Macaca mulatta: one gene and its partner. The protein of the gene in region 1 binds, or shares a complex with, the protein of each later gene. Links are inferred from orthologs where the notes say so. Each region holds a gene or a part of one and is shown on either strand. Other genes may lie near its edges.

What was found.
Region 2: the proteins of RNASEH2A (region 1) and RNASEH2C are in contact, whole or in part, in a crystal structure (PDB 3PUF), measured with the Homo sapiens proteins. The link is inferred for Macaca mulatta from reciprocal best matches to the Homo sapiens genes RNASEH2A and RNASEH2C. Residues at the interface, in NP_006388.2 of Homo sapiens: Thr11, Asn99, Ser102, Thr103, Leu106, Gly107, Arg108, Val109, Val196, Glu197, Lys198, Leu199, Glu225, Pro226, Val227, Phe228, Gly229, Phe230, Pro231, Gln232, Phe236, Leu245, Ala249, Glu250, Asp251, Val252, Ile253, Trp254, Glu255, Asp256; in NP_115569.2 of Homo sapiens: Pro33, Cys34, Glu35, Val36, Ala37, Val38, Ala42, Pro43, Val44, Gly45, Arg46, Phe47, Phe48, Pro50, Ala51, Arg53, Ser62, Phe63, Arg64, Gly65, Arg66, Cys67, Leu68, Leu134, Glu135, Thr136, Lys143, Gly146, Ala147, Thr149.

Annotation. Positions count from the first base shown.
Region 1 is NC_133424.1:13,358,443-13,369,952, forward strand, and holds the start of RNASEH2A (ribonuclease H2 subunit A), read left to right. Parts: upstream 1-4,111; 5' UTR 4,112-4,400; coding exon 4,401-4,527; intron 4,528-4,734; coding exon 4,735-4,806; intron 4,807-4,932; coding exon 4,933-5,059; intron 5,060-5,163; coding exon 5,164-5,251; intron 5,252-7,877; coding exon 7,878-8,015; intron 8,016-8,123; coding exon 8,124-8,211; intron 8,212-11,510. Other genes in the region: THSD8 (thrombospondin type-1 domain-containing protein 8), read left to right, coding at 2,152-2,351. UniProt on the Homo sapiens protein: Catalytic subunit of RNase HII, an endonuclease that specifically degrades the RNA of RNA:DNA hybrids. Participates in DNA replication, possibly by mediating the removal of lagging-strand Okazaki fragment RNA primers during DNA replication.
Region 2 is NC_133419.1:8,667,686-8,678,938, forward strand, and holds RNASEH2C (ribonuclease H2 subunit C), read left to right. Parts: upstream 1-5,255; 5' UTR 5,256-5,375; coding exon 5,376-5,547; coding exon of another isoform or gene 5,548-5,631; intron 5,632-5,737; coding exon 5,738-5,913; intron 5,914-5,990; coding exon 5,991-6,110; intron 6,111-6,346; coding exon 6,347-6,373; 3' UTR 6,374-6,960; coding exon of another isoform or gene 6,961-7,095; exon of another isoform or gene 7,096-7,188; 3' UTR 7,189-7,189; coding exon of another isoform or gene 7,190-7,271; exon of another isoform or gene 7,272-7,400; coding exon of another isoform or gene 7,401-7,560; 3' UTR 7,561-7,782; downstream 7,783-11,253. Other genes in the region: histone acetyltransferase KAT5, read right to left, coding at 6,961-7,095, 7,190-7,271, 7,401-7,560, 9,179-9,272, 9,354-9,494.

The DNA of each region.
Region 1 (11,510 bases):
TTGCCCTACTTCTCCTGCTGGCTGCAAAGGGACCTTCCTCCGCGGGCTGCAAATCTCCACCCAGCTCTGCACTGGAGGCGTCCCCTTGGGCTGGTTACTGTTCTCTGAGGCTCGGTTTACTCTTGGATACGTTGAAATAGATACTGCTTTAAAGCAGCTCCCAGGGGAAGAGGGTGTGGGTAGGACATTGAAGCTGTCACTCGGGGATAGGTGCCAGGAAGGGCAGAAGCAGAGAAAGAAGGGGGCGGGCAAGCTTGGGAAGTCAGAGAGGGTCCGGTTGCAGAAGACCCGTGACCAGTGCTGCGAGAACGACAAGCGAAAACCCCAAATGGAAAGATTTGGGGAAAGAATGTCCAAGAAAGAGGGAATAGCAAGTGCCAAGGTGAAAAGGCCTAAAGGAGAAATGGGAAGAGGTCGGTGAGATGTGGCAGAGTGGGTGTGGGAGGGTAGCAGGTGTCAGATCTTGGTGAGCCGCGAGTTGGGATAAGATCGGACTTGGAGGCCTGGCGCGATGGCTCAAGCCTGTAATCCCAGCACTTTGGGAGTCCGAGACGGGCGGATCACGAGGTCAGGAGATCGAGACCATCCTGGCTAACATGGTGAAATCCCGTCTCTACTGAAAAACACAAAAAAACTAGCCGGGCGAGGTGGCGAGCGCCTGTAGTCCCAGCTACTTGGGAGGCTGAGGCGGGAGAATGGCGTAAACCCAGGAGGCGGAGCTTGCAGTGAGCTGAGATCTGGCCACTGCACTCCAGCCTGGGCGACAGAGCGAGACTCCGTCTCAAAAAAAAAAAAAAAAAAAAGAAAAAAAAAAAGATCGGAGTTGGGATAAGATCTGTCTCATAGGGGAAAGGGGCAGATTCAGTAAAGAGCTGTTTGAAGTGATCATAGTGGCCGGCGAGGTAGCTCACACCTGTAACCCAAGCACTTTGGGAGGCTGAGGTGGGAGGATCCCTTGGTCTCAGAGACCAGTCTAGCCTGGCCCACATAGCAAGACTCCATCTTTACAAAAAAGATTTTAAAATTAGCCTGACCTGATGGCCTAGCACTTTGGGAGGCCGAGGCCGAAGGACTGCTTGAGCCCAGGAGTTCAAGACCAGCCTAGGCAACATGGAGAGACCCCCTTCTCTACAAAAATAAATAAATAAATAAAAACAAAAAATAAATTAGCCTGCCATGGTGGCATGAGCCTGTCCCAGCTACTCAAGAGGGTGATACAGGAGGACCATTTGTGCCAAGGAATTTGAGGCTGCAGTGAGCCATGATTACGCCCTTACATTCCAACCTGGGTAACAGAGCGAGATCCTGTCTCAAAAAATAAAAATAAAAATAAAAAATAAAAAATAAACCTGATCATAAAAATTTGGTTTGTATATGCTAGCGCAGCACCAGGAGATTTACTTACCTTCATTCTGTCAATTATGCCATTTATCACTTGATAGTCCTGCTGGTCAGTTGGCATTGTGCCTGCTTCAGGGCCATGGTCACACCCCTGAAGACAGAAGTCAGCATCAGATGGCGGGCACCAAGGATGTTATAGGACACTCACAACTGTGCAGGCTGGCACAGCCTGAAAGTGTCAGGTTGTAGTTCCTCTGAGCCACTTACCCTGTGTATGAGCTTGGAAGGTTGGCTTGCTGTCTCTTGGTTTTCCCACCTGAGACTCATGGAAAGATTAAATGAGGCCAGACATGGTGGCCGGCTCACACCTGTAATCCCAGCACTTTGGGAGGCTGAGATGGGAGTATCACTTGAGCCCAGGAGTTCCAGACCAGCCTGGGCAACATGGTGAAGCACCATCTCTGCAAAAAATTAGCCAGGCATGGTGGCATATGCCTGTAGTCCTAGCTACTTGGGAGGCTAAGGTAGGAGGATTGCTTGAGCCCAGGAAGTTGAGGCTGCAGTGAGCTGTGACTGTGCCACTGCACTCCAGCCTGGGCGACAGAGCGAGACCCTGTCTCAAAAAAAAAAAAAAAAAAAAAAAAAAATTAAATGAGATAGTCTACGGGGGAGTGTCTGGCATAGAGGCAGAGTCTAGCGAATATGCGCTTCTCTTATTTGTTAGTATCTTTATCTTTCTTCCTCTCTGGGGGAGGAGATTGGGAGTAGGCCGCCTCCACGTAGGTCTTCACCTCTGCCCTCCTTCTCTAGAAGTCGAGGACTCAATCCTTGGCCCGTGGGGAAAGTGGCGGTGTCTCTGCGACCTGGGCAAGCAGGAGCGCAGCCGCGAGGTAGTCGGCACAGCGCCAGGCCCAGTTTTCATGGACCCGGAGAACCTGATCCAGTTAGGACCCTGCCGGCAACGGGATTGTCCATCCTGCAAGCCCTTCGACTGCGACTGGAGGCTCTGAGCCCGAGTGAGAGAGGGGCCCAGAGGACGCCGGGCCGGGGCAAGCCGCGGGGCCCAGGGTGGGCGCGGAGGGAGGACGTGCGGTGCGTGGCGGGTATGAAGTGAATTTGGGGAAGGGAGAACTGGGGCTCCAAGTCTTGAGTGACTTGAGGCTGATATGGTTAGGCGGAAGCTGAGTCAGGAGCCGAGAGCCCCGCTGATATCTAGGGAGAAAGGCAGAAATATGGAGGGGGCGCTGGGCGCTAGGACTCACCCCTGTAATTCCAGCATTTTGGGAGGCCAAGACAGGCGCATCTCTTGAGTCCAGGAGTTCAAGACCAGTCTGGGCAATATAGTTGAGATCATCTCTCCATAAAAATGTTTAAAATTAGACGAGCGTGGCGGCACATGCCTGTGGTCCCAGCTACTCGGTAGGATGGGGAGGGAGGATCGCTTGAGCCTGGGAGGCAAAGGTTACAGTGAGCCGAGATCGCTACACTGCTATCCAGCCTGGGAAACAGAGTAACACCCTGTCTTTAAAAAAAAAAAAAAAAGTGGAGGGGGAGGCGCAGAGGAATAAAAGGAGATAAAAAGACAATGAACTAGGACCCTGAGGAAGGGGCATGAGCCTGGTAAGGGGCGGGAACCCACAGGCAGAGGACATAAGCCCCAGTGAGTCCAGGGAATAGAAGAAGTGTGGAGGCCAGGCACTGTGGCTCAGGCTTGTAATCCCAACACTTTGGGAGGCGGAGGCGGCCAGATCACTTGAGCCCAGGAGTTTGAAGCCAGTCTGGGCAACATAGTGAGACCCCGTCTCTACAAAAAATACCAAAAATAGTTGGGCATGGTGGTGTGGTGTGCACCTGTAGTCCAGCTGCTTGGGAGACGGAGGTGGGAGGGTCGTGTCAGCCCAGGAGGTGGAGGTTGCAGTGAGCCAATATCGCACCACTGCACTCCAGCCTGGGCAACAGAGAGAGACCCTGTCTAAAAAAAAAAAGGGGGGGGTGTCGGGGTGGGGGTGGGGACGTTCATTCTAAGTTAGGAGGAATGAGCTTCTATATAGTGGGCACAGACCCTGAGCAGGAGTCCACTGAGGTCTGTGATCTCCAATGGGGGTGGGGAAGGCTTGGCCTGAATGAGAGAGAGGGTAGGAAGCACAGATCCTGCAGGGAGTGGGGGTGGGCTGAAGGCAGCAACCAAGAGAGGGAGTTTGGGGACTCCAAATCCAAAAGCCTGAGTTTAGTGGAAGCGGGGCTACCTGGTTCAGGGGACTTAGAATGTGTACAGAAGAAGGGACTGCAGGCCGGGCGCGGTGGCTCAAGCCTGTAATCCCAGCACTTTGGGAGGCCGAGGCGGGTGGATCACGAGGTCAGGAGATCGAGACTATCCTGGCTAACATGGTGAAACCCCGTCTCTACTAAAAATACAAAAAACTAGCCGGGCGTGGTGGCGGGCGCCTGTAGTCTCAGCTACTTGGGAGGCTGAGGCGGGAGAATGGCGTGAACCCGGGAGGCGGAGCTTGCAGTGAGCCGAGATCATGCCACTGCACTCCAGCCTGGGAGACACAGCCAGACTCCGTCTCAAAAAAAAAAAAAAAAAAAAAGAAGAAGGGACTGCGAGTACAGGGCCTGAATCCAGGTGGAAGTCGGGGACGCAGTGATGCGGGGACCCGTGTCCTGGGACAGGGGTGATATTTGACCCTTAGTTCCCCATTAGGTTGGGTCTTCGAAGCTGCGTCTCAGTTTCCCTTTTATTTCCCCTTTTTCCCACCGGCCAACGCAGGCGGGGCCCCAGAGACCGTGAAGCAGAGCTTGCAAAGTGACCCGGTCCACCGAATTCCCCACGCTGAGTGTTCGGCCACAGTCCTTCGGGACTACAATTCCCAGAAGGGCGCACGGCAGCGGCGTCGGCGTCGGCTGCGTAAGCGTCCACGGCCGTGGGAGCGACAGGGGCGTGTTCTGCCCGCGGATTGGCCGGAAACAGGCGCCACTGCAAGGCCCGCGGAAAACGCGCGCCGAGACCCGCTCCCGCGGTGTTAGTTCTTGCAGCTGGTGGCGGCGGCCGAGGCGGCATGGATCTCAGCGAGCTGGAGAGAGACAACACGGGCCGCTGTCGCCTGAGTTCGCCTGTGCCCGCGGCGTGCCGCAAGGAGCCTTGCGTCCTGGGAGTCGATGAGGCGGGCAGGGGCCCCGTCCTGGGTGCGCACCTAGGGCCAGGGAGGGGAGGGGCGTGGTACGGGGGATGAGGGAAACGGGAGTCGGGATTGCACCGCACCAGGGGAGGGGATGTGGTCGTGGTGATGGCACCCAAAGAAGCAGTGATGGTAGAACAGGGATGGATGGCAACTTTCACGGGCTCAGTGATTGGACCCCGGCTGCGAGAAAACTGACACCCCTTCTCCCCAGGCCCCATGGTCTACGCCATCTGTTATTGTCCCCTGTCCCACCTGGCAGATCTGGAGGCCCTGAAAGTGGCAGGTGAGCCCGAGGTGTGCTTCTGGGGAAGGGATTCCCGAGTATGTGCAGGGGCAGGTGAGAACTGAAAGGGGAGGACAGGAACTGGGAGAAGCAGCTGTTCCACTTCTCTTCCAAACCTCCTTCCAGACTCAAAGACCCTATTGGAGAGCGAGCGGGAAAGGCTCTTTGCGAAAATGGAGGAGAACAGGGACTTTGTCGGCTGGGCGCTGGACGTGCTATCTCCAAACCTCATCTCTACCAGCATGCTTGGGCGGTGAGGGGTACCCGGGGGGGGGCTGTGGGAGAGGGGCAGCCAGCATGGGCTGACTGGGCTTTCTTCCTAGAATGAGGTTAACTGGGCTCTGTTCCCCACCACAGAGTCAAATACAACCTGAACTCCCTGTCACATGATACAGCCACTGGGCTTATACAGTATGCATTGGACCAGGGTGTGAACGTCACCCAGGTGAGTTAAGTGTTGAGTTGTCCCCATTTGGTCATCGCAGGATAAACTGGCGACAAAACAGGAGTTCCAGACTGCAGTGAGCCATGATCATGCCACAGCACTCCATCTTGGGTGACAAAGAAAGACCCCCCTAACCCAAAAATAAAAATGGAGGCCAGGCCCAGTGGCTCACGCCTATAATCGCAGCACTTTGGGAGGCCGCAGCGGGTAGATCACCAGAGGTCAAGAGTTCGAGACCAGCCTGACCAACATGGTGAAACCCCGTCTCTACTAAAAATACAAAAATTAGCTGGACGTGGTGGTGGGCGCCTGTAATCCTAGCTACTCAGGAGGCTGAAGCAGGAGAATCGCTTGAACACAGGAGGCAGAAGTTGCAGTGAGCCAAGATTGTGCCATTGCACTCCAACCTGGGCAACAGAGTGAGACTCTGTCTCAAAAAATAATAATAAATAAAAATAAACTAAAAATAGGAGGCTAGGCACGGTGGCTCAAGGCTGTAATCCCAGTGCTTTGGGAGGCTGAGGCAGGCAAATCACCTAAGGTCAGGAGTTGAAGACCATCCTGGCCAACATGATGAAACCCTGTCTCTACCGAAATCGCTTGAACCCGGGAGGCGGAGGTTGTAGTGAGCTGAGATCGTGCCATTGCACTCCAGCCTGGGGGACACAGCAAAAAATAAAAATAAAAGAAGTAAATGTGGGCAAAAACGTGCAGTGGGCAGATTCAGCATCAGATACGTCTGGAGTGCCTCAGGCATATTCCTTGCTACTGTTGATTTCGTGCTCCTGTTTCTGCCCTAAATGTGTGCCACACTGAGGACCACAGTGTAGCCCCTAGTCCCATCTCCATCTAATCTCTCCCTCATCCTAAAGGCTCAGTCTGCAGAACAAATCCCACATGTGTCTCCCTGCTACCTCTGTCCTAGCCCAGGACACCCCCCACACCCTGGACACCTGCTAAGCATCGTCTCTCATCCCCCACCCTCCTGTCCCCTCCAATCTGTTCCCCATGCAGCAACAGAAGGTAGTCTTTTTGAAATGCACATCTCCTGTGGCTCACACCTGTAATCTCAGCACTTTGGGAGGCCCAGACGGGCGGATCACGAGGTCAGGAGATGGAGACCATCCTGGCTAACACTGTGAAACCCCGTCTCTACTAAAAATACAAAAAATTAGCTGGGCGTGGTGGCAGGTGCCTGTAGTCCCAGCTATTCAGGAGGCTGAGGCAGGAGAATGGCGTGAACCTGGGAGGTGGAGTTTGCAGTGAGCCGAGATCGCGCCACTGCACTCCAGCCTAGGCAACAGAGCGAGACTCCATCTCAAAAAAAAAAAAAAAAAATGCACATCTCAACATTTAGTTTTCCGATCACAGTGGAAATTAAATCAGAAAAATTTACAGTCGAGTGGGGGAGAATTACATTAAATTACCAGAGAAAAACATAAATCAGCATTGCCTCGAATGCTCTCAGTGAAAGAACGGACCATTTTGAGAGAATAACAAGGCAAAATAACCTCGACGTAGGAATTGTATGCTGGGTGTGGTGGCTTATGCCTGTAATCCCAGCAGTTTGGGAAGCTGAGGTGAGCAAATTGGTTGAGGCCAGGAGTTCCAGACTAGCCTGGGCAACATAGCAAGACCCCATCTCTACAAGATGAAGAAAGAAAGGAATTATAGCAAGGTAGGCCTTGCTGAGGAGGGACCTGAGGATCAGGTCCAAATGCAGAGCTGGCGATGCAGTAACTGGCATAGACAGACAAGGGACCTACCCGTGGGGGTTCAGGGCCTAGCCTGGGCAGAAAAATGTTTAGCTGGTAAACAAAAAATAAAGGTGGTTTCTGAAAACAGTACTGCTGTGGAGATACCACTTTCCCCCAGCAGCTCTTGACCCCTCTCTTCGGTGCTGTAGCCATAGACCCCCGTGCAAGGGCCCAGCATCATGGACCTGGTCCCAGCTCAGGGCCTTTGTACTGGCTGTTCTCACACCTAGAGCCCTCTTCCCCAGATCTCTGCACGGTTTAGTTCCTCACCTCCTTCAAGCCTTTATTCACCACTACACCTAGCTAATTTTTTATTTTTTGTAGAAACGTGGTCTCCATATGTTGTCCAGGTTGGTCTCGAACACCTGCCCTCAAGTGATCCTCCTGCTTTGGCTTCCTAAAGTTGGGATTACAGGCGTGTGCCAACGCACTCTACCACTTTTTTTTCTAGTGTTTTCTGCCACCTCAGTTCCTAGAATAGTATCTGGCATGCAGTAGGTGCTAAATAAGTGTAGAGCAGATGCAGCATGATCAGAGGAAGCCTCTTCAGGAGGTGATTTTTTTTTGTTTTATTTTATTGTATTTATTTTATGTTTTTGTAAAGATGGGGTCTCACTGTGTTGCCAAGCCTGGTCTCAAACTCCCAGGGCGATCCTCCCGCCTCAACCTCCCAAAGTGCTGGGATCACAGGCGTGAACAACGTTGCCTGGCCTGGGAGGAGATGTTTGAGTTGAAATCCCTGATTGATTCAGCCTGGGGACGGGCTGTGAGAAGAGGATTCTGGGTAGCAGGAAGAACGTGCCAGGGCTGTGAGGCTAGAGCATTGGTACATTGTTTGTTCAATTAATATGTGTTTGTTGCCGTGGCAGGTGTTTGTGGACACTGTAGGGATGCCAGAGACATACCAGGCGCGGCTGCAGCAAAGTTTTCCCGGGATTGAGGTGACGGTCAAGGCCAAAGCAGATGCCCTTTACCCAGTGGTTAGTGCTGCCAGCATCTGTGCCAAGGTCAGTACCCTAGTAGCCATCGCCGGCTTCCAGCATCCCACTATATAAGGGCCAGGCATGGCCACCACGGGGGAGGAGGGAGATTCCAGGTGGCTGTCTTGCCCACAGGTGGCCCGGGACCAGGCCGTGAAGAAATGGAAGTTCGTGGAGAAACTGCAGGACTCGGATACTGACTATGGCTCAGGCTACCCCAGTGGTGAGCAGACAGTGACCATGGTACTAATGTTGAAATGGCCAGAGCTGAGCACACTTCTGAGGTTTTCTTTTCTTCCTTTCTGTCGTTTATCATTTTATTTTGCTTATTTTTTGTTTCTATTTTTTATTTTTATTTATTTATTTATTTATTTATTTTTTTTTTTTGAGACGGAGTCTTGCTCTGTCGCCCAGGCTGGAGTGCAGTGGCGCGATCTCGGCTCACTGCAAGCTCCACCTCCTGGGTTTACGCCATTCTCTTGCCTCAGCCTCCCAAGTAGCTGGGACTACAGGCGCCCGCCACCTCGCCCGGCTAGTTTTTTGTGTTTTTAGTAGAGACGGGGTTTCACCGTGTTAGCCAGGATGGTCTCGATCTCCTGACCTTGTGATCCGCCCGCCTCGGCCTCCCAAAGTGCTGGGATTACAGGCTTGAGCCACCGCGCCCGGCCATATTTTTATTTATTTTTTGAGACAGAGTTTTGCTCTTGCTGCCCAGGCTGCAGTGCAATGGTGCGATCTCACCGCAACCTCCACCTCCTGGCTTCAAATGATTCTCCTGCGTCAGCCTCGCGAGTAGCTGGGATTACAGGCACGTGCCACCACGCCCGGCTAATTTTGTATTTTTAGTAGAGACGAGGTTTCTCCAGGTTGGTCAGGCTGGTCTTGAACTCCCGACCTCAGGTGATCTGCCTGACTCAGCCTCCCAAAGTGCTGGGATTACAGGCGTGAGCCACCGCGCCCAGCCTATTTTTGTTTTTATAAAAATGGGGTCTTGGTCGGGCGCGGTGGCTCACGCCTGTAATCCCAGCACTTTGGGAGGCCGAGGCGGGCGGATCACGAGGTCAGGAGATCGAGACCATCCTGGCTAACACGGTGAAACCCCGTCTCTACTAAAAAAAAAAAAATGCAAAAAATTAGCCGGGCGAGGCGGCGGGCGCCTGTAGTCCCAGCTACTCGGGAGGCTGAGGCAGGAGAATGGCGTGAACCCGGGAGGCGGAGCTTGCAGTGAGCCGAGATCGCGCCATTGCACTCCAGCCTGGGCGACTAAGCGAGACTCTGTCTCAAAAAAAAAAAAAAAAAAAAAAATGGGGTCTTGTCATGTTGCCCAGGCTGGTATCAAACTCCTGGAGTCAGGCAGTCCTCCCATCTTGGTCTGTCAAAGTGCTGGGATTACAGCCATAAGCCACCACCCCTGGCCCTTTTTTCCTTATTTTTTTAAAGAGATGGGATCTCCCTATGTTGCCCAGCCTGGTCTTGAACTCCTGGGCTTAAGTGATCCTCCTGCCTTGGATTTCCAAACAGCTAGGATTACAGGTGTGAACTACTATGCCTGGCTGGAGGTTTTCTAAATTGTTCTGGTCACCCTACTCCACAGCGAAAGAGGCCAAGTGTTAGACAGTGGTGCCATTTGTTCATGGCCACACAGCCAGTGAGTGACGGAGCTGGGTTCCAGGCCATAGGATTGCTGCTGTCTTCCCCGCTTCCCACTTTACTGTCTCTCTGGAGCCCCAGTGATGAACTGAGACCCACGGTGGGCATCTGCCCCTTTGTTAAGGGGAAGGGGACCAGGCGTGGTGGCTCATGCCTGTAACCACAGCACTTTGGGAAACTGAGGTAGGAGAACCGCTTGAATCCTTGAGTTCAAGACCAACCTGGGCAACATAGCGAGATCCCCATCTCTATAAAAAATTTAAAAAATTAGCCAGTTATAGTGGGGCCCACCTGCAGTCCCAGCTACGCAGGCTAAGGTGGGTGGGTTGCTTGAGCCCAGGAGTTTGAGGCTGCAGTGAGCTATGATTATGTCACTGCACTCCAGCCTGGGTGACAAGGTAAGAGCTTATGTCAAAAAAAAATAATGTTAGCCGGGCGTGGTGGCTCACACCTGTAATCCCAGCACTTTGGGAGGCTGAGGCGGGTGGATCCCTTGAGTTCAGGAGTTCGAGACCAGCCTGACCAACATGGTGAAACCCCATCTCTACTAAAAATACAAAATTAGCTGGACATAGTGGCACACGCCCGTAATCCCAGCGACTCGGGAGGCTGAGGCAGGAGAATTGCTTGAACCTGGGAGATGGAGGTTGCAGTGAGCTGAGATCACACGATTGCACTTCAGCCTGGGAAACGAGCGAAACTCCGTCTCAAAATAATAACAATAATAATGTTTAATGACAGGCTGGGTGAGGTGGCTCATGCCTGTAATCCTAGCATTTTAAGAGACAGAGGCAGGTAGATCATGTGAACTCAGGAATTCAAGACCAGCCTGGGCAATATGGCAAAACCCCATCTCTACAAAAGATACAAAAATTAGCCAGGTGTGGTGGTGCACACCTGTAGTCCCAGCTACTTGGGAGGCTGAGGTGGGCGGATGGCTTGAGCCTGGGAGGCAGAGGTTGCACTGAGCTGCGATCATGCCACTACACTCCAGCCTAGGTAATAGAGCGAGACCCTATCTCAAAAAAAATAAAAAGACTGGGCATGGTGGCTCACACCTGTAATCCCAGCACTTTGGGAGGCTGAAGTGGGTGGATCACCTGAGGTCAGGAGTTTGAGACCAGCCTGACTGTCTGATACTGTGAAACCCCATCTCTACTAAAAATACAAAAATTAGCCAGGTATGGTGGTGGATGGCTGTAGTCCCAGCTACTTGGGAGGCTGAGGCAGGAGAATCACTTGAACCTGGAAGGCGGAGGTTGCAGTGAGTTGAGATCACACCACTGCACTCCAGCCTGGGCGACAGAACAAGACTCCATCTCAAACAATAAATAAATAAATAAAATAGGCTGGGCGCGGTGGCTCAAGCCTGTAATCCCAGCACTTTGCGAGGCCGAGGCGGGCGGATCACGAGGTCAGGAGATCGAGACCATCCTGGCTAACCCAGTGAAACCCCGTCTCTACTAAAAAATACAAAAAACTAGCTGGGCGAGGTGGCGGGCGCCTGTAGTCCCAGCTACTCGGGAGGCTGAGGCAGGAGAATGGCGTGAACCCGGGAGGCGGAGCTTGCAGTGAGCCGAGATCCGGCCACTGCACTCCAGCCCGGGCGACAGAGCGAGACTCCGTCTCAAAAAAATAATAATAAATAAATAAATAAATAAAATAAAAATGTTTAATCACTTGTTCTTGGAGGTCAAGGAGATGTCTCAGAGGCAGTCTCCCTGCACTGCCCTTTGAGCAGTTCTTGGCCAGGTAAAGATCCTGTGGCAAGAAGGTGCCTCAGACAATAGGAGGTGCCCCAGGTACTCCGGAGGAAGCCTTAGAAGAGTGGCAAGGAGGCCAGGCGCAGTGACTCACCCCTGTAATCCCAGC
Region 2 (11,253 bases), on another chromosome or scaffold:
CGGGGTTTCACCATGGTCTCGATCTCCTGACCTTGTGATCCGCCCACCTCGGCCTCCCAAAGTGCTGGGATTACAGGCGTGAGCCACCACGCCCGGCCTAATTTTTGTATTTTTAGTAGAGATGGGGTTTCACCATGTTGGCCAGGCTGGTCTCGAACTCCTAACCTTGGGTGATCCGCCAGCCACGGCCTCCCAAAGTGCTGGGATTACAGGCATGAGCCACCGCCCCTGGCCTCTAAAAAAATGCAGAAACCTAGCTGGGTGTGGTGGCACATGCCTATCATCTAAGCTACTTGGGAGGCTGAGGCTGGAGGATTGCTTGAGCTCAGGAGTTTGAGGCTGCAGTGAGCCATGATCGTGCCACTTCAGTACAGTTTGAGCAACAGAACGAGACCCTGACCAAAAAAAAAAAAAAAAATCCTTGACATCTGAATCCTTGCAGAATTCACAGCAATATCCTCATCTGTGCTTGACAGTTTCACATTAATCAATTCATGCCAACTTCTGAAATGATGAAACAAACCACCCTTTACCGTTGGTAAAAGTTTCTACAGTCTCCTTGAAATTACTGTTTTCTGTCAATGTGGCAATTAACTTCAATGCTTCAGCCGGAATGCTGGCCAAACCGATGGGGATTGTTAACAAATTACAGTCTTCAGTTCAACATAGAAGTAAACATTCCATTTCAACCACAAACGACTTCTGTTTCCAGTGCAATTTAAACTAAAAGATGTTGAAGCAGCCTGGACGTGTTGGTTCATGCCTGTAATCCCAGCACTTTGGGAGGCTGAGGTGGGAGGATCTCTTGAGCTCAGGAGTTCAAGACTAGCCTGGGCAACAAAGAAAAAAAAAAAATTAAAAGAAAAAATTTAAAAAATATGTTGAAGCAACTTTACCTCGTTTATTATATGTATTAGTTTATTTCGTGTTGCTCTGAAGGAACACTGGAGACTAGGTAATTTATAAAGAAAAGAGGTTTATTTGGGTCACAGTTCTACAGTCTGTACGAGAAGCATGGCTCCAGCACCTGCTTCTGGTGAGGCCTTGGGAAGCTTACAACCATGGCAGAGGGCAAAGGGGGAGCAGTGTATCACATGGCAGGAGAGGGAGCAAGAGAGAGGGATGGGGAGCTGCCACACTTTTAAATAATCAGTTCTCATGTGAACTTACTACCACTCATTACCTTGAAGAGGGCACCAAGCCATTCCTGAGGGATCCACTCCCATGGCCCAACCCCTCCCACTAAGCCCCACCTCCAACATTGGGGGGGTCACACTTCAACATGAGCATTGGAGGAGATAAGCATCCAAACTATATCATGATATTCATCAGACTTTCAATATAGTTCGTGCCACAGCTTCATATACAATTTCACTTCCAGTCTTATCCTCATTTTTTTTTGCTGTACTTTTATATTTGTTAGCCATTCCCCCTTCCAGTTATTCATCCGATTTTTAAAATTATTATTATTATTATTATTATTATTATTTTGAGAAGGAGTCTCGCTCTGTCACCCAGGCTGGAGTGCAGTGGCACAATCTTGGCTCACGGCAACCTCTGCCTCCCAGGTTTAAGTGATTCTCCTGCCTCAGCCTCCGAGTAGCTGGGATTATAGGCGCCCACCACCACGGGCGCCTGGCTAATTTTTGTATTTTTAGTAGAGACGGAGTTTCACCAGGTTGGCCAGGATGGTCTTCAACTCCTGACCTCAAGTGATCCATCCACCTTGGCCTCCCAAAGCGCTGGGATTACAGGTGTGAGTCACCACGCCCGGCCCAATCATTGAATTTCATAAAATGTTATATCTGTTGATCACTGAGAGACAAGGAGGCAACCCAACTATACACTTGTCTGGCGTCTGCATGAGCTGAATGACAGACCAGCACTGACCAGCCAATCACCACTAGTCTTCGAAAGCAGTGATGTTCTAATCATGATGCCCATCTGTTATTTATGTCATGTTTTTTGGACTAAAGAGCCAGCAGCAAGGTTTGGACCTTACAGAATTCGTTAAAATTCCATGGTAAATGAAGTTTGAACCATGCTGGTGGGGAGACCATCCTGGCTAACACGGTGAAACCCCGTCTCTACTAAAAAATACAAAAAACTAGCCGGGCGAGGTGGCGGGCGCCTGTAGTCCCAGCTACTCGGGAGGCTGAGGCAGGAGAATGGTGTAAACCCGGGAGGCGGAGCTTGTAGTGAGCTGAGATCTGGCCACTGCACTCCAGCCTGGGCGACAGAGCGAGACTCTGTCTCAAAAAAAAAAAAAAAAGAAAGAAAAGAAAAGGAAAGAAAAGAAAACAAATTACAAGGTGTAATGAAAACAAACAAAAAAGAAGATGTAATGATGAGGTGAAATTATCATTATTTGAAAGAGAGGTGGCTAATTCTGGCTAATATTTTATTTTCTTAAGAAAATAAAAATCATTAGGAACAAAAGAATTCAGTAGATATCTAGTTTGAAAATTAACATATAAAAATCAACAGGTTTGCTACAGACAAGGGGTCTGAAAAATATGGCCTGTGGTTCAAATCCAATCCACTGTCTGTTTTTGCAAAGATTTACTGGAACACAACAATGCTCATTCATGTATGTACTGTCTATGGCTGTTTCCATGCTAGAATGGTGAAGGTGAGTAGCTGTGACAGAGACCATAAGGTCCATAAAACCTAAAATATTTACTATGTGACCCCTTACAGAAAAAGTTTGCCACCCCCTGCTATAGATTAAAAAAAAATCAGTCAGAAAATAAAATGAAAAAATAAAAGCCCCAATTTTGGTTTTTTTTTTTTTTTTTTTTTTTGAGATGGAGTCTCGCTCTGTCGCCCAGGCTGGAGTACAGTGGCGCGATCTCAGCTCACTGCAAGCTCCGCCTCCCGGGTTCACGCCATTCTCCCACTGCAGCCTCCCGAATAGCTGGGACTACAGGCGCCCGCCACCTCCCCCGGCTAGTTTTTTGTATTTTTAGTAGAGACGGGGTTTCACCATGTTAGCCAGGATGGTCTCGATCTCCTGACCTCGTGATCCACCCGTCTCGGCCTCCCAAAGTGCTGGCATTACAGGCTTGAGCCACCGCGCCCGGCCCCAATTTTGGTTTTTAGAGACAGAGTCTTCTTCTGTAACCCAGGCTGGTGTGCAGCGGTGCAACTGTGACTCGAATAACAGCCTCAAACTCCTAGGCTTAAGTGATCTTCCCACCTCAGCTTCTTGAGTAGCTGGGACTACGGGCACATGCCGCCGTGCCCCACTCATGTTTAAAACATTTTTTTCTTTGTAGAAACGGAGTCTTGCTATGTTTCCCAGGCTGGTCTCGAACTCCTGGTCTCAAGCAATCCTCCCCCATCTTGGCCTCCTAAAGCACTGGAATTACAGGTGTGAGCCAGTCATGCCCAGCCCCTCAGTTTTTAATACAAACAATTATTAATATAACCTAGGAAGAAATAAACTTAAACTATTATATATGAACAAAACCTCACAACTGTACGGATATCCAAGGAGATGTGAATAAATGGAATTAAGTATTTCGTGATAGAAAACTAAAGCAAGCCTTTTTCTAAATTAATCTGCCACTCTAGCCAAAGACCACCAGGAATACATCTGCAGTTGAACAAATTGGGCATATTACTCCTGCACTCTGGGGCATTTCAGTAAGAAGGTGCTAGAAAGGACTTAAAGGAGGATTTGTGCCCATGTTCAGTGATTTCAGTCAGGGTTTAGGGAAGCCAGGCTTCTCTCTGGCTTGGATGCTGTCAGAGGTGGGGGTATGTCTATGACGGACTATCTTAATGAATCTTGGCCAGGAGAGAAGATTAGTTGGAGGCTAGTGCTGTAATTGGTAAGGAAACAACAGTCACTCTCCTGTGGGAGAAAGAGGGATGTTTCATGCCTTTTGTGGTTTGGACAGTGTTCACCTTTGCCAGCGTTCAGATGTGATGATGGAGAGGTTCTGTTTCTGTCTTGCTCCCTCATGGTCACAGAGTGACCTTGTCCGATGCTGATGTTCTCTGAAATTTATGTTCAACAGAATACCAAGGCCAGCTCCCAGATGTCCAGGGATGTATAAATTAAACGCAATTTAAATCTAAATTTCCAGTTTTGTGTTTATGTGAGAACTTGAAAAAATAATATCTAAGTTGGGTGTCTGAACAAATAAACATTAGAGAAGAGTTGAGAAACCAAAAAGAGAATTGTGAAATCTAAAAGACTGAAAAATGTTGATAAATTTGACTACAAAAAATAAGTCTTTATCCCGGGTACAGTGGCTCACGCCTGTAATTCCAGCGTGATTTGGAAGGCCAAAGCGGGCAGATAGCTTGAGTCCAGGAGTTCAAGACCTGGGCAACATGGCAAAACTCTGCCTCTACCAAAAATACAAAAATGAGCCGCGTGGTGGCGCAGGCCTGTGGTTCTAGCTACACGGGAGGCTGAGGTTGGGGGATGGATTAAGCCTGGGAGGTCGAGGCTGCAGTTAGCCAATCAAACCACTGCACTCCAGCCTAGGTGAGTGAGACCTTGTCTATAAAACCAAACAACAACAAAAATAAGTCTTTGTCCACCAAAAATCACCTTTACACAGGTTTGCAAGACAGACCACAGATAAAACATTTTCAATGCATTTGAGAAAAGGGTTGATGTCCCTAATAAACTAAAAATGAAGAACCCATCTACCAACCAATATAAAGAGTTCAGAATCGTTTTAGATTTTTACAACGATCATGTCCCATTAAAAACAATACAAGAAAAAAACCTGGCTGGGCGCGGTGGCTCACGCCTGTAATCCAAGCACTTCCGGAGGCCAAGGCTGGAGGATCACCTGAGGTCAGTAGTTCGAGACCAGCCTGGCCAACATGGCAAAACTCCGTCTCTACTAAAAATACAAAAATTAGGTAATTAGCCTGTAATTCCAGCTACTCCGGAGGCTGAGGCAGGAGAATCGCTTGAACCCGGGAGGCGTAGGTTGCAGTGAAGCTGAGATCGCGCCACTGCACTTCAGCCTGGGCGACAGAATGAGACTCTAAAAAATAAAAAATAAGAAAAAGAAAGAGGGAAGGAAGGGAAGGAAAGGAAGGAAGGGAAGGGAAGGGAAAGAGGGGAGGAGGGGAGGAAGGGAGGAAGGGAGGAAGGGAGGGGAGGGGAGGGAAGGGGTGGGGTGGGGAGGGGAGAGACTGGGCGGGGCGCGGAAGGGAAGGGAGGGGAGGGGAGTCCTAGGACTTTGACCCAGGGAAAGCATTAGGGGTAAGGGGACTACACTTCCCGTGAAGCTCCGCGGCGGCTTCCCGTGAGGCTCTGCGGGGGGCTTCCTGAGAGGCCCTGCGCGCTTTCCGCGCCAGCTTCAGCGTCAACCCGCGAGCCCTTGCGTCGCGTAGAAGCGAGGATGGAGTGCGGCGACGAAGCGGCCATCGAGAGGCACCGCGTCCACTTGCGCTCCGCCACGCTGCGCGACGCCGCCCCCGTCGCACTACACCTGCTGCCCTGCGAGGTCGCGGTGGACGGGCCCGCCCCGGTGGGGCGCTTCTTCACGCCTGCCATCCGCCAGGGCCCCGAGGGTGAGCATCGCGGCCGGACTACAGTCCCGGCAGCCCCCGCGCCGGTCCGCGCGCCCCTCATCTCCTGGGCTCCGGGGGATCGTGGTGCGTCCGGAAGTGGCGGGAGGGCAGCTCCGGGCTCGCTCCGCAGGGCTCAGGTCCTGGGCCCAGTGTGGGTCCTGCCTGAGGCTCTTTGCGCCTCCCGCTCCAGGACTCGAAGTGTCATTTCGGGGCCGCTGTCTACGGGGCGAGGAGGTGGCGGTGCCGCCTGGCCTCGTGGGATACGTGATGGTGACGGAAGAGAAGGAAGTGTCCATGGGGAAGCCAGACCCCTTGCGGGATTCCGGGACTGACGACCAAGAAGAGTCGCCGCTGGAACGGGACTTTGTGAGCAAAGGGATAGGGTTGAAAGGGGGTGCGGGCGGGACCTGTAGTCCCGATGCTGAGCCAGGCCCCTTCCTCAGGACCGCTTCATTGGAGCCACTGCCAGCTTCAGCCACTTCACCTTGTGGGGTCTGGAGACCATCCCTGGCCCGGATGCCAAAGTGCGTGGGGCCCTAACTTGGCCCAGTCTTGCGGCAGCGGTGAGTAGATGAGGAGTTCCGTCTTGTCCCCGGGTGGATGGGCTGTGGAGCACAATTGGGCAGACGAAGCCTGGAGGATTCTACTGGGTAGTGCGTGGGAAGCGTAGCTCCCCGACCACTCTTCCTAGCCATGTCTAGAAGGGGTTATTCTGAACAGCTGGGTCCTTCCCCGGGTCTGGGGGCCAGCCTGCCGCCCTGCCTTACAAGTCCAACAGTAGAGGCGACTCCTCTTGCAGATTCACGCACAGGTGCCCGAGGACTGAGAACCAGAGCTTGAAATTCAAAGCTGCGATCCCTTCACAGCAGTAAACCAGCTCTTTGGAACCACTGATTCCATCACCCCAATAAAGGAGCTCTTTACAGCACCTGTGAGTCCGGGCACCTTAGAGCCCCTAAGCCAGCATGGACCCCTCTCCCCCAAGAACCTTGCATGGCTCTGGCATATAGAAACAATTTATTGCCGTGGGCAATGGGGATAAGAGAAGCCAGAATTTTTTGCAGCCAGCACCCACCCCACCCCCAACTTCTACTTTACAAAAGAAATTTTTACAACCACCAGCCCTCTGTACAGAGCTCCCCCACCCCCCATCTCACTGTACACAGCTGCCTGGCTCCCTCTGATCCCTGGTTCAGAGCAGGCCTGGGCCTGTGGCCAGCTGACCTTGGAGTTAGCCTGAGCCCTGAGCTCGCCTTGGTGCCGGGCACCAATGGGCCCTGCCAGGCCTGTCCCCTCCTTTTCGAGCTTTTCAGCCCCATCTCCCTTAGAGTGCTTTGTGGGAGCTGCAGTGAGGGCGGGGTGGGCTATCAGCCCCAGTCCTGCTGTCTTAGCACTGCAGTGGGCAGTGCCTGGTCACCACTTCCCCCTCTTGCTCCAGTCCTTGGGAGTGAAGTGCAGACACTTGGAGTCAATCCGCAGGAGCCGCTTGAGCATAGCCCGCTCATGGCCATCCACGATGTCCTCTGACAGTGTGAGGATGTACTGGCCCTGGGCAGAGGAGATGGGTTCAGCAAGTGGCCAGCGGACAGGGGCCTGCACTCTGCATCCCACACACCTGTCTCCACCCTGCCTGCCTCCCTACCTTGTAGTAGTTGATGAGATTGAGGTACTGCAGAGTGGAGATGACATCCTCCTTCTTGATGCTGGTGATTTCACTGATCTCACTGTAGGAGAGCAAAGGTCAGGTCCCCTGAGGACCTTCATCTGTCCCCAGGAGCCCCAGGAGAGAGTGAGAAAGCCCAGGAACAGACAGGCCATGCCATGTACCCCCAGGTAGGCAGCGCCAGGCTCACTTGATGGTGATCTGTGGCCTCTCCCCGCTCTCTGACTTCAGCCCCATCAGGATCTCCAGGATGGTCTGGGACCAGTAACTTCGATAGGATAGGAGGCCAAGGTCTGAGAGGGGCTTCTCAGGGGTCCCTGTTTTCCCTTCCACTTTGGAGAGTTCATAGCCTAAAGCAATGGAGCAGGAGAGGGTGAGTAAGAGGTCATAGATGAACATAAGCAACATTTAAAAACACAGGTCGCCAAGGCAGGCTGCCTAGTTCCCATCATGGCCCTGCCACTTGGCAGTTCTGTGGCCTCCGCCTCTCTGCGCCTCAGTTCCCTCAGGAAGAACTAACGAGTATTCACTCTTCCCCTGGGAGTTGAGCACAGTGGAGGGCATGAGAGCACTGAGAGGAGCAGCTGCAGTCAACCACGAGGGTGATCAGAGGCCAGTGAAGGCTTATGGGCAGGGGATGCAGGGAAAATGGCTCAGGGGAAGAAAGTGCCTCCAATTTTCCTTTGCCATCCCAGGCTCCATGTCTGGGCATGTAAGGAAGGAAGTGGGGACAGATTCCTGTCTCTAATCCAGGCCTGAGAATGCTTGAATTCTCAGTCAAATCAGTCCTCCTAGCTGGGATCTTGGGAGTGTCAGCTGCTGTTAAGACCTGAGTGGCCTGACTGGGTGGTTGTGAGGATGCAAGGAGAAAAGGTGCACCAAAGTGCTTCCCAAGTTGGGGAGACCATTCCTGAGAGCCAGGTGACTGACCCCCACCATGGCTGTTTCCCTCCAACTCCTGCTGATAGCTGCGCACTGGGAGGCAGTCCCCAGTGAGATCCTGGCCCTGCACAGCCCTGAGTGGCTTCACATCTCTTGGGCAGTGTCTTCATTCTCCCCACCAGGGACCTGGGATGTTTGTGACTTCTAGAAGCCCTTCCTCACCCTCACAATGGACCTTAGCCCCTTGGTAGTCCCACCCACATCCCATCTCCATTGCAGTCTGAGCTCCAAGACTGAGTTTCTTCAAGCATCCACTTGTGCTACCAGGCTGAGAAGTTCTGAGGATGTGACCCCATCTGGGCATCACTTAACCAATACATTTCTCGAATGGACCATAACCTTGATCAAGTAAAGCCTCTGTGTCTTCACCAGGCAAACAGCTAGAACTTCCTCTTCTTTTCTCAGGTCAGAGCTTAGTTATTCCAAGTGAGTGGTGAGATAGAATGCGGGGTGATGGGGAAGAGGCTGAGAAGGAGAAGGAGCCTCAGGGTTGGGGAGGGCACTGAAGAGCTCATGTGTGATGAAGGTCAGAGTCCCTTCTGGCTTTAAGAGACTGACCTCACTGGACACGAGGAGCAAGGGAGAATTCCATGCTTACGTGTATCTGTTGACAGCATTTTGGACACCTGCCTGCACGGCTCAGGCGACAACTGGGGACATTAACCACTGGTCCTTGCCCAAGGACTTGTATCATGTGACACCGGTTACCAGATACATGAGCACCAGCGGCTCACTAACCTGCCCATGGCTCCAGGCAGGAGCATGTAAGTCAGATTTGGGGAAAGCTGAGTGGCACTTAGAACCCTGGCCAAGGAGCAAACTGTGGGGCTGAGAACCTACCCCAGATAAGCAGGGCAGTCAGCCTGAATGGAGAGAACTCTGGGAGAGTGCCACTGTTATTTCTGGCTGGCTCCCCTAGAGACCGGGCTGCACAGCCACGGTTGAGAATCACGGTAGCCTGGCACATCTGCCTATGGGGCACCGATGATGGGTGCACTACCCCCTGGCTGCAGCACACATACTCACTGAACTCGATCAGCAGCTTGCCGTAGCCCCGGCGCTGGTAGGGAGGCAGGGTTAGGATGCAGGCCACATTGTAGTCTTCTGTCGATTCTTTCTCCTGGAAAAGGGGGGCAGGTGAGTGTCAGGGAAGGGACCTGGCTCAGGATAGGGCACAGGGACAGCCTGGACAGGCACTGACCTTGGAGAAGTAGCCCACGATGTGGAAGCCCTTACAGTCATACTCCGTCATGACGTAGAAGAGGAAAGGGTCTGTGTCATAGTACAGTGTCTTATGGTCAAGGAAACACTTGGCCAAAAGACACAGGTTCTGGGAATAACTCTGCAAGAGAAAAGGCTTGTCACCATTCTGGGTATCCTGCCTTGAGCCTGGCCAGTGGTTCAGGGTCAACCAGGAGCTTCACTGTTTGTGCTATGCCCCAGACTGATAGGTGATGAGTATTCTTCCCTGGCTGGGCCTGACCCACTCCACTAGCCCGCAGCTTACGCAGGGCTGCTCCTCAGTGTTGAAAAGCCTCTGTGCCAGATGTGTGATGTGTCTGAATGCCTCCCTGCTCAGTCGGGCAAGTTTCCCGACTTACTCTGCACACCTCCATCTAAGCCTGGCCAGGAGACTCCACCCTGTAATGTTTTTAACAGCAATCAACAAACTAATGTGTCCAAAGTCAGACTCCGACCACCGCTCCTCAGAGAAGCTCTCTCTGACAGTCTTGGGAGTCTAGCTGTTAAAAAACCTAACATTCTGGCCGGGCGCGGTGGCTCAAGCCTGTAATCCCAGCACTTTGGGAGGCCGAGACGGGCGGATCACGAGGTCAGGAGATCGAGACCATCCTGGCTAGCACGGTGAAACCCTGTCTCTACTAAAAAATACAAAAAATTGTCCAGGCGTGGTGGCAGGCGCCTGTAGTCCCAGCTACTCGGGAGGCTGAGGCAGGAGAATGGCATAAACCTGGGAGGCGGAGCTTGCAGTGAGCTGAGATCCGGCCACTGCACTCCAGCCTGGGCGACAGAGCGAGACTCCGTCTCAAAAAACAAAACAAAACAAAAAACACAACATTCTGCCGGGCGCGGTGGCTCATGCCTATAATCCGAGCACTATGGGAGGCTGAGGCGGGCGGATCACGAGGTCAGGAAATTGAGACCATCCTGGCTAACACGGTGAAACCCCGTCTCTACTAAAAATACAAAAAATTAGCCAGGCGAGGTGGCGGGCGCCTGTAGTCCCAGCTACTCGGGAGGCTGAGGCAGGAGAAGGGCGTGAACCCAGGAGGCGGAGCTTGCAGTGAGCCCAGATCACGCCACTGCACTCCAGCCTGGGCAACAGAGTGAGACTCCGTCTCAAAAAAAAAACACAAAAAAAACCTAACATTCTACATCCACAGTCACACCTCCTGGGAACTGATCTGCTACTCTACGACAGAGTTAAGGAACTATGTAATTTAACAAAATAACTGCCTTAGGGATTACCCCAGCAAAATTATGAATCATGCTGCTTAACCTTACCTCTGCACATGATTTCTCCTGCATTTCAGACATTGTGGGTTTTTTGTTTTTTTTTTTTTGAGACAGGGTCTCACTCCTGTCGCCCAGGCTGGAGTGCAGTGGTGCAATCATGCAGTCATGGCTCACTGCAGCCTTGACTTCCCAGGCTCAGGTGATTCTCCCAACTCAGCCTCCTGAGTGAGTACCTGGGACTACAGATGTGCACCACCACACCCAGCTAAATTAATTAATTGTGGTTTTTTTTTTTTTTTTTGAGACGGAGTCTCGCTCTGTCGCCCAGGCTGGAGTGCAGTGGCGCGATCTCGGCTCACTGCAAGCTCCGCCTCCCGGGTTCACGCCATTCTCCTGCCTCAGCCTCCCGAGTAGCTGGGACTACAGGCGCCCACAACCGCGCCCGGCTAATTTTTTGTATTTTTTTTTTTTAGTAGAGACGGGGTTTCACCGTGGTCTCGATCTCCTGACCTTGTGATCCGCCCGCCTCGGCCTCCCAAAGTGCTGGGATTACAGGCGTGAGCCACCGTGCCCGGCCTTTTTTTTTTTTTTTTTTTTGAGACAGAGTCTCGCTCTGTCGCCCAGGC